Linked DNA regions of Stegostoma tigrinum. The protein of the gene in region 2 binds, or shares a complex with, the protein of the main gene of each other region. Links are inferred from orthologs where the notes say so. Each region holds a gene or a part of one and is shown on either strand. Other genes may lie near its edges.

Evidence for each region. Proteins that work in one complex are often made in the same cells at the same time.
Region 1: the proteins of naa50 (region 2) and naa15a are in contact, whole or in part, in a cryo-EM structure (PDB 6PPL), measured with the Homo sapiens proteins. The link is inferred for Stegostoma tigrinum from reciprocal best matches to the Homo sapiens genes NAA50 and NAA15. Residues at the interface, in NP_079422.1 of Homo sapiens: Arg5, His14, Asn15, Lys17, Gln18, Arg21, Leu22, Val25, Phe51, Asn52, Ile54, Ala55, Leu80, Pro82, Tyr83, Leu86; in NP_476516.1 of Homo sapiens: Pro369, Pro370, Thr371, Leu374, Ser403, Thr404, Pro405, Thr406, Leu407, Ile408, Phe411, Glu433, Ala436, Leu437, Asp438, Thr439, Ala440.

The regions. Positions count from the first base shown.
Region 1 is NC_081354.1:25,840,366-25,847,753, forward strand, and holds the start of naa15a (N-alpha-acetyltransferase 15, NatA auxiliary subunit a), read left to right. Parts: upstream 1-4,308; 5' UTR 4,309-4,719; coding exon 4,720-4,773; intron 4,774-7,388. UniProt on the Homo sapiens protein: Auxillary subunit of N-terminal acetyltransferase complexes which display alpha (N-terminal) acetyltransferase (NAT) activity. The NAT activity may be important for vascular, hematopoietic and neuronal growth and development.
Region 2 is NC_081359.1:15,223,179-15,231,141, forward strand, and holds the start of naa50 (N-alpha-acetyltransferase 50), read left to right. Parts: upstream 1-4,867; 5' UTR 4,868-5,032; coding exon 5,033-5,040; intron 5,041-7,963. UniProt on the Homo sapiens protein: N-alpha-acetyltransferase that acetylates the N-terminus of proteins that retain their initiating methionine. Has a broad substrate specificity: able to acetylate the initiator methionine of most peptides, except for those with a proline in second position.

The DNA.
Region 1 (7,388 bases), on a different chromosome or scaffold from region 2:
CTTTATCCTAGAATATCACTAGCCTACAGAAACCTATCAATTTATTCTTGAACCTGAATTATTGAGCTTCCGTAGAAATTTCCAAATATTCACTACCCTGTGAATGAAGAAACTCCTCCTCAACTCAGTTTAAATGGCCTATCTTTGTACTGATATTATATCCCCTGGTTCTTGAACTCATCTTAGTCACCAATCACTCATTTACGTGTATGATTGTCCACCTAAGGAAATTCCATGACACTAGTCATGGATTCTGAGGGTCCTTGCAAGGCTGATGAATTCAATCCTGCAGCTGCATCTCTGACCATAAATTTGGCAGGTGTTTCTAGGAAGTGGAATAGGTCTGTGGCATTAAGATCACTGACATTTCTTTCACTGGTTCCTCTTCCATTCTTCCTCTTGCTGATGTGTATTCTCAAAGAGTTGTGCTCCTTTGTATGGAACATTCCTCCAAGTCAGTTTATTCTGAATGAGGGTCTCACGTGTATTGACATCTATGTTATATTTCTTGACAGAAACCTTCAGGAAGTCTTTGAAGTGCTTCCTTCATCCTCTTCTCATTTGAATGCCTTTGTCAAGTTGGGTGAAGAACATTTGTTTTGCCATTCTTGAACCGCCAGCCAAGGGAAACATCCCATCCTATTTGTCTTGCCCTGTATTTTTCAAGCTGCAGTGGAACCACCTCTCATTCTTTGAATCTTTAAAGAAATTGGATTTGTATTCTCTAATGTCTCCTCATGAAGCAACCCTGCCATCCTCGGGGTTAATCTGATAAACCACCATTGCACTCCCTCCATGGCACATATATGCTTTGTCAGTTAAAGAGACTGAAACTGTACACAATACTCCAACTGAGTTCTCACCAAGGTCCTGTACAACTGCAGCAAGACATCTTTACTTATGCAATTAAATTCCCAAGGCATGAATACCAGCATACTGTTTGCCTTTCTAAATTCTTGCCGCACCTCCACGCTACCAGTTAGTGACACAGACAGTAATATTTGATCCCTTTAGACACCTACACTTTCAACATTGCACCATTTAAGAAATATTCTGCCTTTATGACTTTTTTTTCAAGACAGATGAAAATCCTCATGCTTATTTACACCATTTTCATCTGTAACGTTCTACCTCATTTACTTGGCATGTCCAAATCCCACTGGAACTTCCTTGCACACTGCTCCTGACCTAAATTTGGAAAGGGTACAATTGTCCTGCCATTCAAATAACTATTAATATTTTGTGAATGGTCCTACTAGTAGTAACACTAGTAACAACCTACCACCCTGAGAATGATCCACTTATTCCTCTCTGCTTTCTGTCTATTGACCCAATTCTTAATCCATAGCACTATAACCTCCCGCAATCCCATGTGCTATAATTATACTGGCTAGTGGGATTTTGTCAAGAGTCTTCTGAAAATCCAAATACACCACATCCACTGGTTTTCCCTTATTTATGCCGCAAACAAAAGTCTGTCAAATATAAGTTCCCTTTCATTAATCTGAGTTGACTTTGCCCAATTTGAGATTTTTAATAAATGTTCAGTTATCACAACTTTTATAACAGATTCTAATATTTTCTGTACTATGGCTACCAAACTAATAGGTCTGTATTTTTCCATTCCCCATGTTTCTCCATTCTGAAACAGTGGAGTTATATTTGTGCCTTCCAGAATCTATGGAATTATCAGAGGCAATCGTCCATGCAATCACTACTTCTATTGCTACTTCCTTCCGTACTCTGTGATAAAGCTCACCTGGTCCAGAAGACTTATCAACCCTCAATCCAGCTAATTTTTCCAAGTATTACCACCTGACTAAGGTTAAGTTCTTTCAGCTTTTCAGTTACACAAGCTCCTTGGCCACCTTGTGTTTCTGCCTAGTTTCTCCACCTCCCACAATTTGAAATGCAAATAATCCTGTCCCCATTTGTAATGGACCAACAATTACTGTTGTTAATCTTTTCTCTTTTCATATATCAGAGATGCATCTCCAAGGCACTTTTATGTTCTTCACCAGCTTGCATTCATGTTCACTTTTCCCTTTCCTTATCAGTTTTTTTGGACTTCCTTTGCTGGGTCATAAATTAATCCAAATTCTCAAGTTTACCACTACCTCTGGCATTCTTAGAAGTCATTGCCTTTGATTAAATACAATGTTTAACTTCTTTCTTTCACCATGGTTGATTCACCTTTTCCTTTGAGTTTCTTTGCCTTAGAGTAACATTTATCTGTTGAAGACCTGTGGTTGTAACATCATTAGTGATGAATGCTCACTACCCTCAGACAAATTGCTGATCCTGGCAAATTTTGAGTATCTAAAACATAATCAAGGGTGGTACACCTGGTTAATGATCCCTGTTCTACTAATGAATGCCAAGTATCTATTAGAAAGTTTCTCAAGCAATGGTTCTGCTGCAGAGAATGCTTGACTTGAACTTTGCAATACTCACCACAGCATATCTGCAATCTACAGGTGCAGTCCCTGATTTATATGCAGTCATTGAACATTTTCCAGTACTACAGCCAGGTTCATGGAATTAGGCTATTTGTTTTGTCTTCATTAGTCACCTCCTCTGGTTGGAAGGCATTCCCTAACAAATTCTTGGTCTCTATGAAACCATGGTCACAGTCTTCATTCAGATTGCATGACTAAAAGCTTCAGTACCACTTCTCTGAACTTGATAACCCCCCTCCTTGCTGTGGTGTTTCAGTTGTCTTGTTTTCCATTGCAGATAATTGCATCACTGAAGTCAGTTGCAGTTTCCTCTCACAATACAACTTTCCTTGTAAGAGACGTAAGCTAAACTAATAGCTGGATACTAACTGGTGTACCAGTGAGGCTTGGAAGCTGTTGAGTTCCCTTATGAGCTATGGAACACCCCTATTAAATCCTCTCTCAACCTTCTCCTTCAGCTACGATTGCTCCAAATAACCAAAGAAGTCCCTCATATCTAGAGGCATTCCTGACATTTTTAAAATCACTAGTGCCACCATAGCCTTCCTAATCACTCTCCCCAACAGCATCGTAGGTCTATTTGCACCAAATGGCCGGCGCTGCTTCAATAAGGTAGCTCACCGCACCGTTTCCAAGGGCAATTAGGGATGGACTAATAAATGCTGTATTTTATACTCTATTCCTCTATTTATACAGGCAAAAAATAAAATGGTACAGATTCAGGAATTTCGAAATAGACACAGAACGTTGGAGAAATTCAGCAGCTATAGGGAGAAAAACAGTTAACATTTCAAATTCGATATGATTTCAGAAGAAGCGTCAAACTGTTTGTTTATCTACAAATGCAGAGTTTCTCCAGCATTCTCAGTGTTTGTATCCAAGATCTCCTGGTCAAAGTCAAAGTCTTATCCACTTTCTCAACCTGCCATGTTACCTTCAACAATGTCTGAATACCCCTGGATCCCTGCGTTTCTGCCCTTTGAAACTGAATAAGTGGCTTGAAATGGATTTGGTGCGCACGGATTGCGAGTCCGAATCCCAAATACTGGGTGAAAGCAACTTTAAATTCAAATCGGTGGCCTTGTTTTGTCTCAAAGAATAATAATACCGGAAATTACCGATACAACTCAAACGTTCACTCTTCGTTGTCTCGAAAGATCTTCCCGAGCTGATTATCGTCCTCTACTTAGCAAGTAGATGATAGACAGTTTTCCATTTAAGTGTTGCTATTAACGTGCACGGAATCTTAGTTTAAAAGAATTGCCGAATGTGGCGTACGGTCGGTTTTGCAAATCCAGTGGTACTTAAATGAAGTGGGAGGATTCTCTCACAAGAGTCAGAACATATACTGGGAGCCACACCTACTTTCTCGCCTTTCATCAGGAAGTGTTAGTGTAGGTGCAGATCTCAAGGAATCACCTTGACGTGTTAAACTTAACCGATGCTACTGGCCGGAATACATACATTCCTGTTTGTATTAATACACTGCGGTCTACAAGCTGCGTGTTAACAAAATCAAAATACTGCGGGTGTTACTTTTATTATCTTCTTGGTTCCATGATATTCACCCATACGATAATTTTACTATATAAACATTGTCAGGTATATAAGGAAAATTGGAATCTACTGTTATGTCACTGATATTGTTTGTTTACGCCGGATTTCAGAAAAACAAAACAAATTTATGATGAAAACGCAAGAACTCTGGAAGAATAACACACGGCCAGCAAAAGTTGGCTCTCGATGGGAATCACTCGGCACGCACTTGGGAGGATCACACGCGGTCCTCCACTGTCCCGTCGTGCTCCGCGCATGTGAGGTCAGCCGACGGCGTGAGGGTTCGCTGCGAGCGGCGCCTGCGCAGTGGCAGCTGACCCGGAGGGAGCCGGCGTTGCTGCTGACTGCCGCCCCCGCCATTTTGGTTGAGGGTTTTTCTTTCCTCCCCTCCGCTGAATTCAGTGCTGCAGGGAGCGGAGCGGAAAAAAAATACACACGTGAAGGCGGAGGTTCCGCTCGAAGCGAGAGCAAATTGCGGGGCCGCGGAGTGGCTGGTGGTGGGGGGGTAGAAAAGAGAGGAGGGAAGGAAGAAGTGCATGTGTGTGTGTGTGAGAGAGAGAGAGAGAAAAAAGGCAAAAGCGGCCCATGAGCTGAGGAGCCCCAGGATCGTATTCGGGGGGAAGCAAGTAAAACCACCAAAGACAGCGCGTGTCTCACTTGACCCGGCGAACCGGCCACCGAGCCCGCTGCACTAGAGCTAGCCATGCCGTCGATAACGCTGCCAGCCAAGGAGAACGCCCTCTTCAAGCGGATCCTGGTGAGTGACTGAGGGAGAACGGCGGTGATCCAGAGCGTGCGCCTTCCCGGTCGGATCGGGGCACTTTTGTTTCCCCCCCCCCCCCCCCCGGCCTCGCGGTGGTGGCACGATTTGCCCCACAACTGGTGTGCACACCTCCCACCACCAATGCCCCTAAACCTGCGAGCGGAAACTGCGGCTCCCTCCCTGCATCCATTTTCGTGCCTTTTTCAAAGTTGAAACTTTACCCTGAGTCCCGTTCCGCCGGCATGTGTCTACTGTGATCCTTCCCCCCGCCCCCCCAATACCGCGGCCTTGCTTCTCTCCTCACCCCCCCCCCCCCCCGGGGGACTTTTGTCCGACTGACCGGGTTGTACCGTATTCAAAACATTTCTCCCTCCGTTACCCCCACCACACACACACACACACACACTGCAGCCTCTTATGTACCCGGTGGCAACAAGCGTCTTCCTGCCTTTCTCCGGCCCGGGCCTACACGCTGCAGTGAATGGGATGTGAGCAGGCTCAACCCGCCGGCACTCCCCTCTCAACCTGGGAGTTTGCTGGATTCTCCCGCCAGTTGCTGCCTCGGGCTCCGACTCCGGAGGTTTTTTGCCTTCCTCGCCCCCTTGCCAGCGTCCGGCACTGCTGAGCTCAAACACGTGAGACGCGTTGGATTGGAGGCCGGCCCCACACTTTGTTATCTATGAGATTTCGAACCGCTCCTCGCTTCTTGTACCGTGAGGCACCAGGCCCTGCTCCATCTCTACGTCTTTGTTGCAATCTCATTGGCATTCTTTACTTTAACACAACTTCGATTTTATTGCCCACAAATTGAGAGTAGATTCTGAATCAGCTGCTTGGGTTTTATAGGTGTCTTTCTAAGTCTCCTATGAAATTACCTAGCAAAGTTCAGTAGAGGCCTTGATTAGGCTTTATCATATGGAGCACGTTTTTTAAAACGTCCTGCGAGGCGTAAATTGTTTAGATTCTTGTATACTAGACAGGTCATAAGTTGTGATCTTGTGTCTTATATACCGGGAAAAAGAAGTAAAGCAGTAATATGGTTCAACTTTGAGGAGAGGTGTAAAATAATTGGTTTATTTACTGCCTTCGGCATGCCAAACTTTGGTTGAGATGATGAATTTGTTTTTAAAGTAGCCCAATTAAGGCAGCAAGTAAAACTCACTCATAGATTACATCGATAAATGCTCTGGCGTATTCAACATCATTCATTTCAGATTGAGTAGGATTTTTAATACTGAATTAGAATGTTATGCTTGTCAAGAAGGAGATTTGAATATGAATAAAATAACTTTGCACTGGTTCAATGTGTTTCATCACATTGGGAACATTTGAGTCTAGTTTTCAAGTGGCATTATGGTGAATAATTGAAAAAAGATTAGATGGGCATGATGTATGTTTATAGGAACACCCTATCGCAGATGGTATTCAAGGCTTTTGTTTTAAATGCTGCCTTTCTTGCTCTTAATCTTCAACATTAAGTATGTTAAGTGTGAACCGGCCAAGGTATGGCAACGTGTCTCCCTGCTATAGGAAAGATGTCATTAAACTTGAAAGGGTTCAGAAAGAGTAACAAGGTTGTTTCAAGAGTTAGTAGGAACTGCAGATGCTGGAGAATCTGAGATAACAAAGTGTAGAGCTGGATGAACACAGCAGGCCAAGTAGCATCAGAGGAGTAGGAACGTTGAAGTTTAGGGCTGGAAGGTTTGAGCTATCGCAAGAGGCTGATTAGGCTGGGGCTTTATTCCCTGAAGTGTTGGAGGCTGAGGGGTGGCCTTATTGAGGTTTAAAAAATCATATGGGGTGTGGATAGGGTGAATAGCCAAGATCTTTTCCCACGGTACGGGAATGCTAACCTAGAGGGCGTAGGTTTGAGGTGAGAGGGGAAGATTTAAAAGGTGTCTGAAGTGCAATTTTTTTCATGCAGAGCTGCCAGAGGAGGTGGTGGAGGTGGATACAATTATAACATTTAAAAGGCATCTGGATGGGCACATGAATAGGAATGGTTTAGAGGAATGTTGGCCAAATGCTGGCAAACGGGATTAAATCAGTTTAGGCTGTCTGGTCAGTGTAGCGAGTTGGACCGAGGGTTTGTTTCTGTGTTCTGTAATTCTGATTCTGTCATCACTGGCCCACATCTCTTTATCAATTTGTGAAATGGTTATAAATGATATCAAACATTTGCAATATGTGGAATTCTTAGACGACTAGTACCCTGAAGCAAAGTGGAGCCATTGTTTAGCCCTGGCTCTGTAACAATGAAAATATTATTAAAATAATAGGGCAATCAGCTTTAACCAGAATTTGTTATACTGTAACAAGTGATACCATAGAAACTGAAGGACCAAGAACTACATCAGAAGGTGCGTTAGCAAAGCTTCCTAGGGGTAACAATGTGAGCCATAAGTATTTTAGATAATAAGCAACAAAATTTTCAACCCATACGTGCAGGCCAGAGGTTTGATTTTTACATTGGCCTTTATGGACCTGTGCCCAAAATGGGGAAGGTACATAGATGATAAATATTTTGATAAGCAGTTGCTGCTCTACATTTATTTAGCTGTTTAAATGATAATCCAATTAAAGTCAGGTCATGTCACCATAGTCTTAAG
Region 2 (7,963 bases):
CATTTCAGAATAAAAGGCTTAAGAGAATTAGCTAGCAACGTGTGATATGTACACTTAGGCTAGCTTATACAAGTACATTAAGCAGAAACCAATTTAGGATTAAACAATCACAAGAATATCATATTTTACTGATGCACATAACTGAAATTGCCGTAACACGTTCAAAGTCCACAATGCTGGGTGCATTTATCATGAGGACGTTTCAGCATGGATATGATACGATTTAAAACTTGTCGTCTTTGTCTTTAGTGAGGAGTTGAACAGTGCTTTCAAGATTTCTTGAATTGCAAAACTCCTGTTTCACTTCCCACTATCGACGTATACCAGTGCTTGACACCTCACACACTCCCTTTCCTTCCATGATTTATGTCATTAGACAGTGGGAGAATAGATTTGAGCATATTCATAAGTCAACTCCAAAAATGTTAATACACACTCCAGAGAGCAATTGGAATTTTTTTTTCAGTGGGATAGGCTTAGGGAGAAGCAGAAAAGTGCACAATGTGAACAAATGGAGAAAAAATGTATAAATTGAGAGAAATAGTACAAAGATGAGGGAAAAGATGATACAATCTACCAGAGGATAAATTGACAATTCAACCAGGGTTGTGCAAAGAAGCTTGTTACAGGCACAGAGATTAGTGGGATGGGAGAGGAGAGTACAATATAATTTGAGAGCTAAACGGAGGAGATGGGCAGAAAGTGAGGAGAATTAGGACAGAATAGAAAGAGATGGGGGAGTGGAGCAAGAGACAGGAAAACAAATCCATTTAAGCACGAGCAAAGACCACGAGACACGGAAACAGAAGCAGGCCATTCAGCCCACTGATCTACTTCACCGTTTGATCATGCCTGCCATGTTTCTCAATCCAATTCTCCTGCCTTCTCCATAACACTTGATACGCTTACCATTCAAGAACTCCACAGCTCTCTGCTGCAATGAATTCACCAGATTACCCACCCTCTGGCTGAATAAATTCCTCATTTCAATTCCAAAAGGTCACCCCTCTGAGGTGTGCCCTCAGATCCTCATACCAGTAGAAACAGTTTTCACATTATCCATAACCCTCAATATTCCGAGTCAATACAACATGGAACAAGACGAGCACAGGTGGTCAGGCAGAAGAGTAGGAAAGTCGACATTTTGGGTCAGAACGCTTATTCAGATATTCTATTAGTTCCAACCATATCCACCCTTCCATCCTTTTAAACTCCATCAAGTACAGAACCAGAGTCCTCTTCCATTCCTCATCTGACAAGCCTTTCAGCCCCATGATCATTCAGGAACAAAAGCAGAAGTCGCTGGAAAATCTCGGCAGGTCTGGCAGCATCTGTGAAGAAAAATCGGAGTTAACTTTTCGGGTCCGGTTCGGAGGAAGGGTCGTCGAACCCGAAACGTTAACTCTTGATCTTTCTTCACAGGTGCGGCCAGACCTGCCGAGATTTTCCAGCGACTTCTGCTTTTGTTCCTCCCGGGGCTACTCTCCAACGCCAACACACACTGCCTTCGATGCAGGGCCCGAACCCGCTCACAGTACTCCAAAGCCCGCCGCCAGCCTGACAGGGAAGGGACACGCTTGAACAGCTTCGCACCGTAAGGTCTGCACAAGCAGCTCACTGAGCCCGGGCGGCTGCGGTGATGGCGGATTAGGTGTCAGAGTCTCCTGCCCCCAGGACGCTGCGCGACCGTCAAAAACCCAAACAGGCCGAACCGATCGGGCCGCGGACTAACAGCAACAGTGCGGCCGGCCGAGCGAGCGAGTAAGGCCGACAAGGGAAACCCTCCTCGATGTACCTTGGCTGAGGAGAAGCCTCCTTCACCTGCTCCGGACTCTCCGATCTCAAGCTCCGATCGGCTCAGTCAGCTGATCCTAGCGCATGCGCGCGGGGGCGGGCCGGCCGGCCGGCACGGAGGGGGCGGGGCTGCCGAAATTAATATTTCGCTCGAGCCTAATTTTCAATGTTTTAACACCGCACCTCAGGTCACCATCCGAAAGAGTGTAACAAAATAAAATAAAATAAATAAAACTTTACGACTTTTGCAGTGCTCAGTGGAGGACGGAGGCGAAAATGTCAGGCGCGCTGACGTCTCGGTGCGTCACCCCTCCGCTATTCCGAGGGATTTTTAAAAATTTTTTTAAGATAAACGCCGAATCAAAATTTGATCGTTTCCTCTTCAAAATTGTTTTAAACTCCGGTAATGTTTGCGAATTGATGAATTACAATTTCCGAGGGTTGGGGGGAGGGAAGAACTCAGCAAGTCACGTGATAACAGCCTTTTCTATGTAAAATAAATATCATAAACATCAAGCCAAGCAGCATCTCAGGAGCACAAAAGCTGACGTTTCGGGCCTAGACCCTTCATCAGAGAGGGGGATGGGGAGAGGGAACTGGAATAAATAGGGAGAGAGGGGGAGGCGGACTGAAGATGGAGAGTAAAGAAGATAGGTGGAGAGGAGAGTATAGGTGGGGAGGTAGGGAGGGGAAGACGGACAGCTCAAGGAGGTTGCAGGAACAGCAACTCATATTCCGCCTGGGAACCCTGCAGCCCAATGGTATCAATGTGGACTTCACCAGTTTCAAAATCTCCCCTTCCCCTCCTGCATCCCTAAACCAGCCCAGTTCGTCCCCTCCCCCCACTGTATCCCAAAACCAGTCCAACCTGTCTCTGCCTCCCTAACCGGTTCTTCCTCTCACCCATCCCTTCCTCCCACCCCAAGCCGCACCCCCATCTACCTACTAACCTCATCCCACCTCCTTGACCTGTCCGTCTTCCCTGGACTGACCTATCCCCTCCCTACCTCCCCACCTATACTCCCTCCACCTATCTTCTTTACTCTCCACCTTCAGTCTGCCTCCCACTCTCTCCCTATTTATTCCAGTTCCCTCTCCCCATCCCCCTCTCTGATGAAGGGTCGAGGCCCGAAACATCAGCTTTTGTGCTCCTGAGATGCTGCTTGGCCTGCTGTGTTCATCCAGCCTCACATTTTATTATCTTGGAATTCTCCAGCATCTGCAGTTCCCTTTATCTCTCAAGGAGGTGGGATGAGGTTAGTAGGTAGGAGACGGAGGTGTGGCTTGGGGTGGGAGGAAGGGATGGGTGAGAGGAAGAACAGGTTAGGGAAGTGGAGGGGTGTGTGGAGCAGACAAGGGAGTCGTGGAGAGAGTGGTCTCTCCGCAAAGCAGACAAGGGTGGGGATGGAAAAATGTCTTGGGTGGTGGGGTCGGATTGTAGATGGCGGAAGTGTCGGAGGATGATGCGTTGTATCCGGAGGTTGGTGGGGTGGTGTGTGAGGACGAGGGGGATCCTCTGGGGGCGGTTGTGGCAGGGGCGGTGTGTGAGGGATGTGTTGCGGGAAATGCGGTCAAGGGCGTTCTCAACCACTGCAGGGGGAAAGTTGTGGTCCTTGAAGAACTTGGACATCTGGGATGTGTGGGAGTGGAATGCCTCATTGTGGGAGCAGATGCAGTGGAGGCGGAGGAATTGGGAATAGGGGATGGAATTTTTGCAGGAGGGTGGGTTCCATCCCCTATTCCCAATTCCTCTGCCTCCGCCGCATCTGCTCCCAGGATGAGGCATTCCACTCCCGCACATCCCAGATGTCCACGTTCTTCAAGGACCACAACATTCCCCCCGCAGTGGTCGAGAACGCCCTTGACCGCATTTCCCGCAACAACCGCCCCCAGAGGATCCCCCTCGTTCTCACATACCTCCGGATACAACGCATCATCCTCCGACACTTCCGCCATCTACAATCCGATCCCACCACCCAAGACATTTTTCCATCCCCCCCCTTGTCTGCCTTCCACAGAGACCACTCTCTCCACAACTCCCTTGTCTGCTCCACACTCCCCTCCACTTCCCTAACCTGTTCTTCCTCTCACCCATCCCTTCCTCCCACCACAAGCCGCACCCCCATCTACCTACTAACCTCATCCCACCTCCTTGACCTGTCTTCCCTGAAGTGACCTATCCCCTCCCTACCTCCCCACCTATACTCTCTCCACCTATACTCTCCTCTCCACCTATCTTCTTTTCTCTCCATCTTCGGTCCGCCTCCCCCTCTCTCCCTATTTATTCCAGAACCCTCACCCCATCCCCCTCTCTGATGAAGGGTCTAGGCCCGAAACGTCAGCTTTTGTGCTCCTGAGATGCTGCTGGGCCTGCTGTGTTCATCCAGCTCCACACTTTGTTATCTTGGATTCTCCAGCTTCTGCAGTTCCCATTACCACTAACATAAACATCACTCGGGAGGACCCTCGTAGGGACTGGCGGGGAGTTTATTTCTACGCGAAGGCCGATATGAACATGATATGGAACTGGTAGAGGGTGAAAAGGTTACAGTGGCTGTCGTTTCTTTCAAGTTAATTCCAATAGTCCGCCTATGGTCGGCGGTTATATTTTCTCTAAATTTATAACTCAAATAAAAAGGACAGAAATTTAAACGATACAGGTGATTATTTCTGAGAGGAATTCGTTAGGGTTCGGATAGTCCGAGATGCACTCGGTTTCACTCGCGGCTCCCCTGCTCGAGACCAGGCCCGCAGTCGGGCTGACTCGGTGCACAGTCGGATAGACTCGGCTCCATTCGTGAGGAGCTGGCCTGGAGGTGGGCGAACTCAGGCACCACCCGAACGGACTCGTCTCCGTTCGTGAAGTCCTGGCCGTGCCTTGGTCCGACTCGGCACCACGCGTGCCAGAGTCGGGTGGACTCGGCTCCACTCGCGGAGACCGGGCCGGGATTCGGGAAGACTCGGAGGGCATTCGGCCCGCAGTCGGGAACACTCGGCTGTCGTCGGGCAGGAGCCGAACGTATTGCCCTCCCCCAACCATTTCCTACCGCCACCGCCACCCCCCTCCCAAAAAGCCCGACTGAGGTCAGGGGTCAGAGGTGAAGAGTGGGTGGCGCGGAGAGGAGCGTGCGCGGCGAGTGGCATGTGTTAGGGGCTGAAGAGTTTGGGCGATTCACCTCCATCCTCCTGCTCCTCGCCGCTCGGTCACCAGGTGAAGACGGACAAGCGCCCGCCCATCATGAAGGGGTGAGTCCAACTGACAAGCACGCTGGATGGCAGGCGAGGGGGGGAAGAGAAGAGGCCCGGCCTGTCGGAGCTGATCTCGCCGCCCCCCCCCCCCCCCCAGCTCCCCCGCTCCCCTCAGCGGCCTCGGGCAAGCGGCGGGAGTTCCTCCGTCAGAGTTTTATTTTAGTTGAGTTGTAGGTGGAGTTGGGGGGCCTGATTTCTGCGGCCTTCTCACTTTTTCCCTTCTCTGCCTCACTCAGGGCGGAGGTAAACCTTTTTTTCTGTGCCGAAGAAGTGTTCTGTTGGATTCGACACGTTAATTCTGTTTTTTTTTCCTGTCCCCAGATGCTACCAGACCTGCGGAGTTTCTCAACACTTTTTTAAAAAAAATCACATACTCAGCATCCAGAGTACTTTACTTTTAATTGACTTTTTCCTCTAATTATGAATCCAGGAACTGAGTTTTCAATCGGACTCCCCTCATGAACCCCGAGCAGAATCCAGCTTACCACCCCTCCCCTTTCCCCGGAGACATAACCCAGCTAAGTCTCTCTCCATTGTAATACCTCAATAAATCCAACTGCCTCCCCCAACCCCTACCAGTAATTCGCTCCATCAACTCTGTTTATGTTCTATGATCTATTATTTATGTATTTACACATAACAGGTTACATTTTGTTGGTGAAGTGTTTCAACTGTTGCTTTCAGTGTTTCTGTCAGATTCATTTTCTGCTCAATTTATCTGGGAATTTTTTCATGTACCGTGATTACTCATAAAATGGTCAAATGACCCTGCTGGGCATGAAAATAAATTAATACGTTTTTATCAATTATTTTCTATTCTTTGACATATTTTCCCTGTGAAGTCTGAAGATGCTATTATCAATGCTTTGTAACTTCTATGTAGAACAGAATCTAAAATACCAATCATTAATATGTTTTAGAGATAATGGGAACTGCAGATGCTGGAGAATTCCAAGATAATAAAATGAGAGGCTGGATGAACACAGCAGGCCAAGCAGCATCTCAGGAGCTCAAAAGCTTTTGTGCTCCTGAGATGCTGCTTGGCCTGCTGTGTTCATCCAGCCTCTCATTTTATTATCATTAATACGTTTTGAAGGGTAAGAAATGAAATTTGCAAGGAAATATTTAAATAAAAATTTTGTTTATGCTGTAACACATGTTTTAACTATTTTGTCAAGACTAAGTTGTAAATAAAATCAGTGGTGGAAATTGAGACAAATCTTGCCTTTGCTATAAGCTGCTTTGGGATGTCCTGAAATTGTGTAATATGCAATGTAAATAAATCTTTTGTGTGATTTTTCCTGAAGTAAATCTTCCATTAGTATTACAGTTCTTTTCATGTAGATTTTTGAGCCTAATCTCTAATTTTTGTTGTGGAGTAAAAAGGAAAGTAAGGGAATAGGATTAGTGAAATGATGTATGAATTAGAATAAGCTGTAGAGTCGGTGCACTTGATCAAATCGGTGTGTAACTGGGCTGCATGGTTTGGAAGAATTACTACTGGCTTGTATTATGTTTCTTGATGTTTGCTGAAGAGCTGCATTGATGTAACATCACTGGATTAGAGAAGTTAAAATCAACTGTGATTCCTCCTCCTGATTACTATCTAATAATTTCTGCTGGAATTAGAGATTGTGGTGTTCCTTACATTGCTAAGGTTTCCACTGTTTAGTTACACACATAGAGAGCAATTATTAAGACAAGGATTCAGTGTGTACCTACCACCTGTGAAATACTCAGTTGTTAGTATTGTTTTCAGGGGAACACAGTGAAGTGTAGAAAATTGTAACCTGCACACATTAGTTTGTTTATGCCCTCAATAATGATCAGTACTGGACTTAACTCCTTCACATTTATTTTAAGAAATACAGTAATTAAAAATGAGAAATCCTTATAATACACAGTGATTATTACAATAGTCATTCTTGTTTAAATTCGTGACCTTGGCGTTATTCCATTTCTACACTCTTCAGATGTCAATCCTCTGAGTTATGTGTTCCTCTAATTTAGCCTCTCGTGCGTGCTTGATTTTATTCCCACTACCATCGTTCATCTGGCTTTGCCTTGCTACCTCTTTCTTCATTAAGATGTTTCTTGAAACTTAGCTTTTTGAATAAATGTTTAGTCACATGTCCTAACATTTTTACCTATGACTTGTTGAATATACTCCTGAGGTGTGCCTTGGAATATTTTCCAACATTAATGATGCTATCTTCCCTGTGGTTAATGACAGTTTAATTCTTGGTATGAGTGTCAGTGTTCAATTACTGTCTCGCAAGTATTTACTGTGCTTTTTTGCAGTAAGTATCTAAGTCCTTGACTGCTGCTTCCGAAATCAAACTGAAGTGAACGTGTGAAAAATAGTAATCGAAAGGCAGGACATGCTGACAATTGAGACAGCTTATTATCAGGAGATGGCCAGGCATTAAATGGAGTATTGTTACCTGGATGACTCTCCAGAAACATTTGGTGAAACTATGCTGAAACTAGAGATAGTGTGGCAAGTGGCAATAATGTTGTAGGACACCTGAAAAACATAAATTGAGGCAAGTGTGAAGTTATTGGGCACAATATCTAATGAGCAAGAGGCAGGAGCATTTGAAAGGTCAATATAAGGAAAAAGATCCATTGTTTTTAAATATAAGGTTTCTAGTGTGAGCAAGAAAAGGAGAGGCCCAGTATAACCAACCTATTTGCTACGCGATGCAAACTACTTAAGCACAAAGTTACTTCCTGACTCTGTCACCAAGGAACACAAGAACTTAGCATTCTGAACGTGGTTTTTGGATGTGTCAAAGCACTATTCAGGAAGTAGTGGAACAGTCAGTCGACATCACATTGCTCTGACCTAGGAAACAGCACTGAATGTAATCAAATCTTGTGTATAACTTAGATTGCAGATGTATGGAACATGAACTAC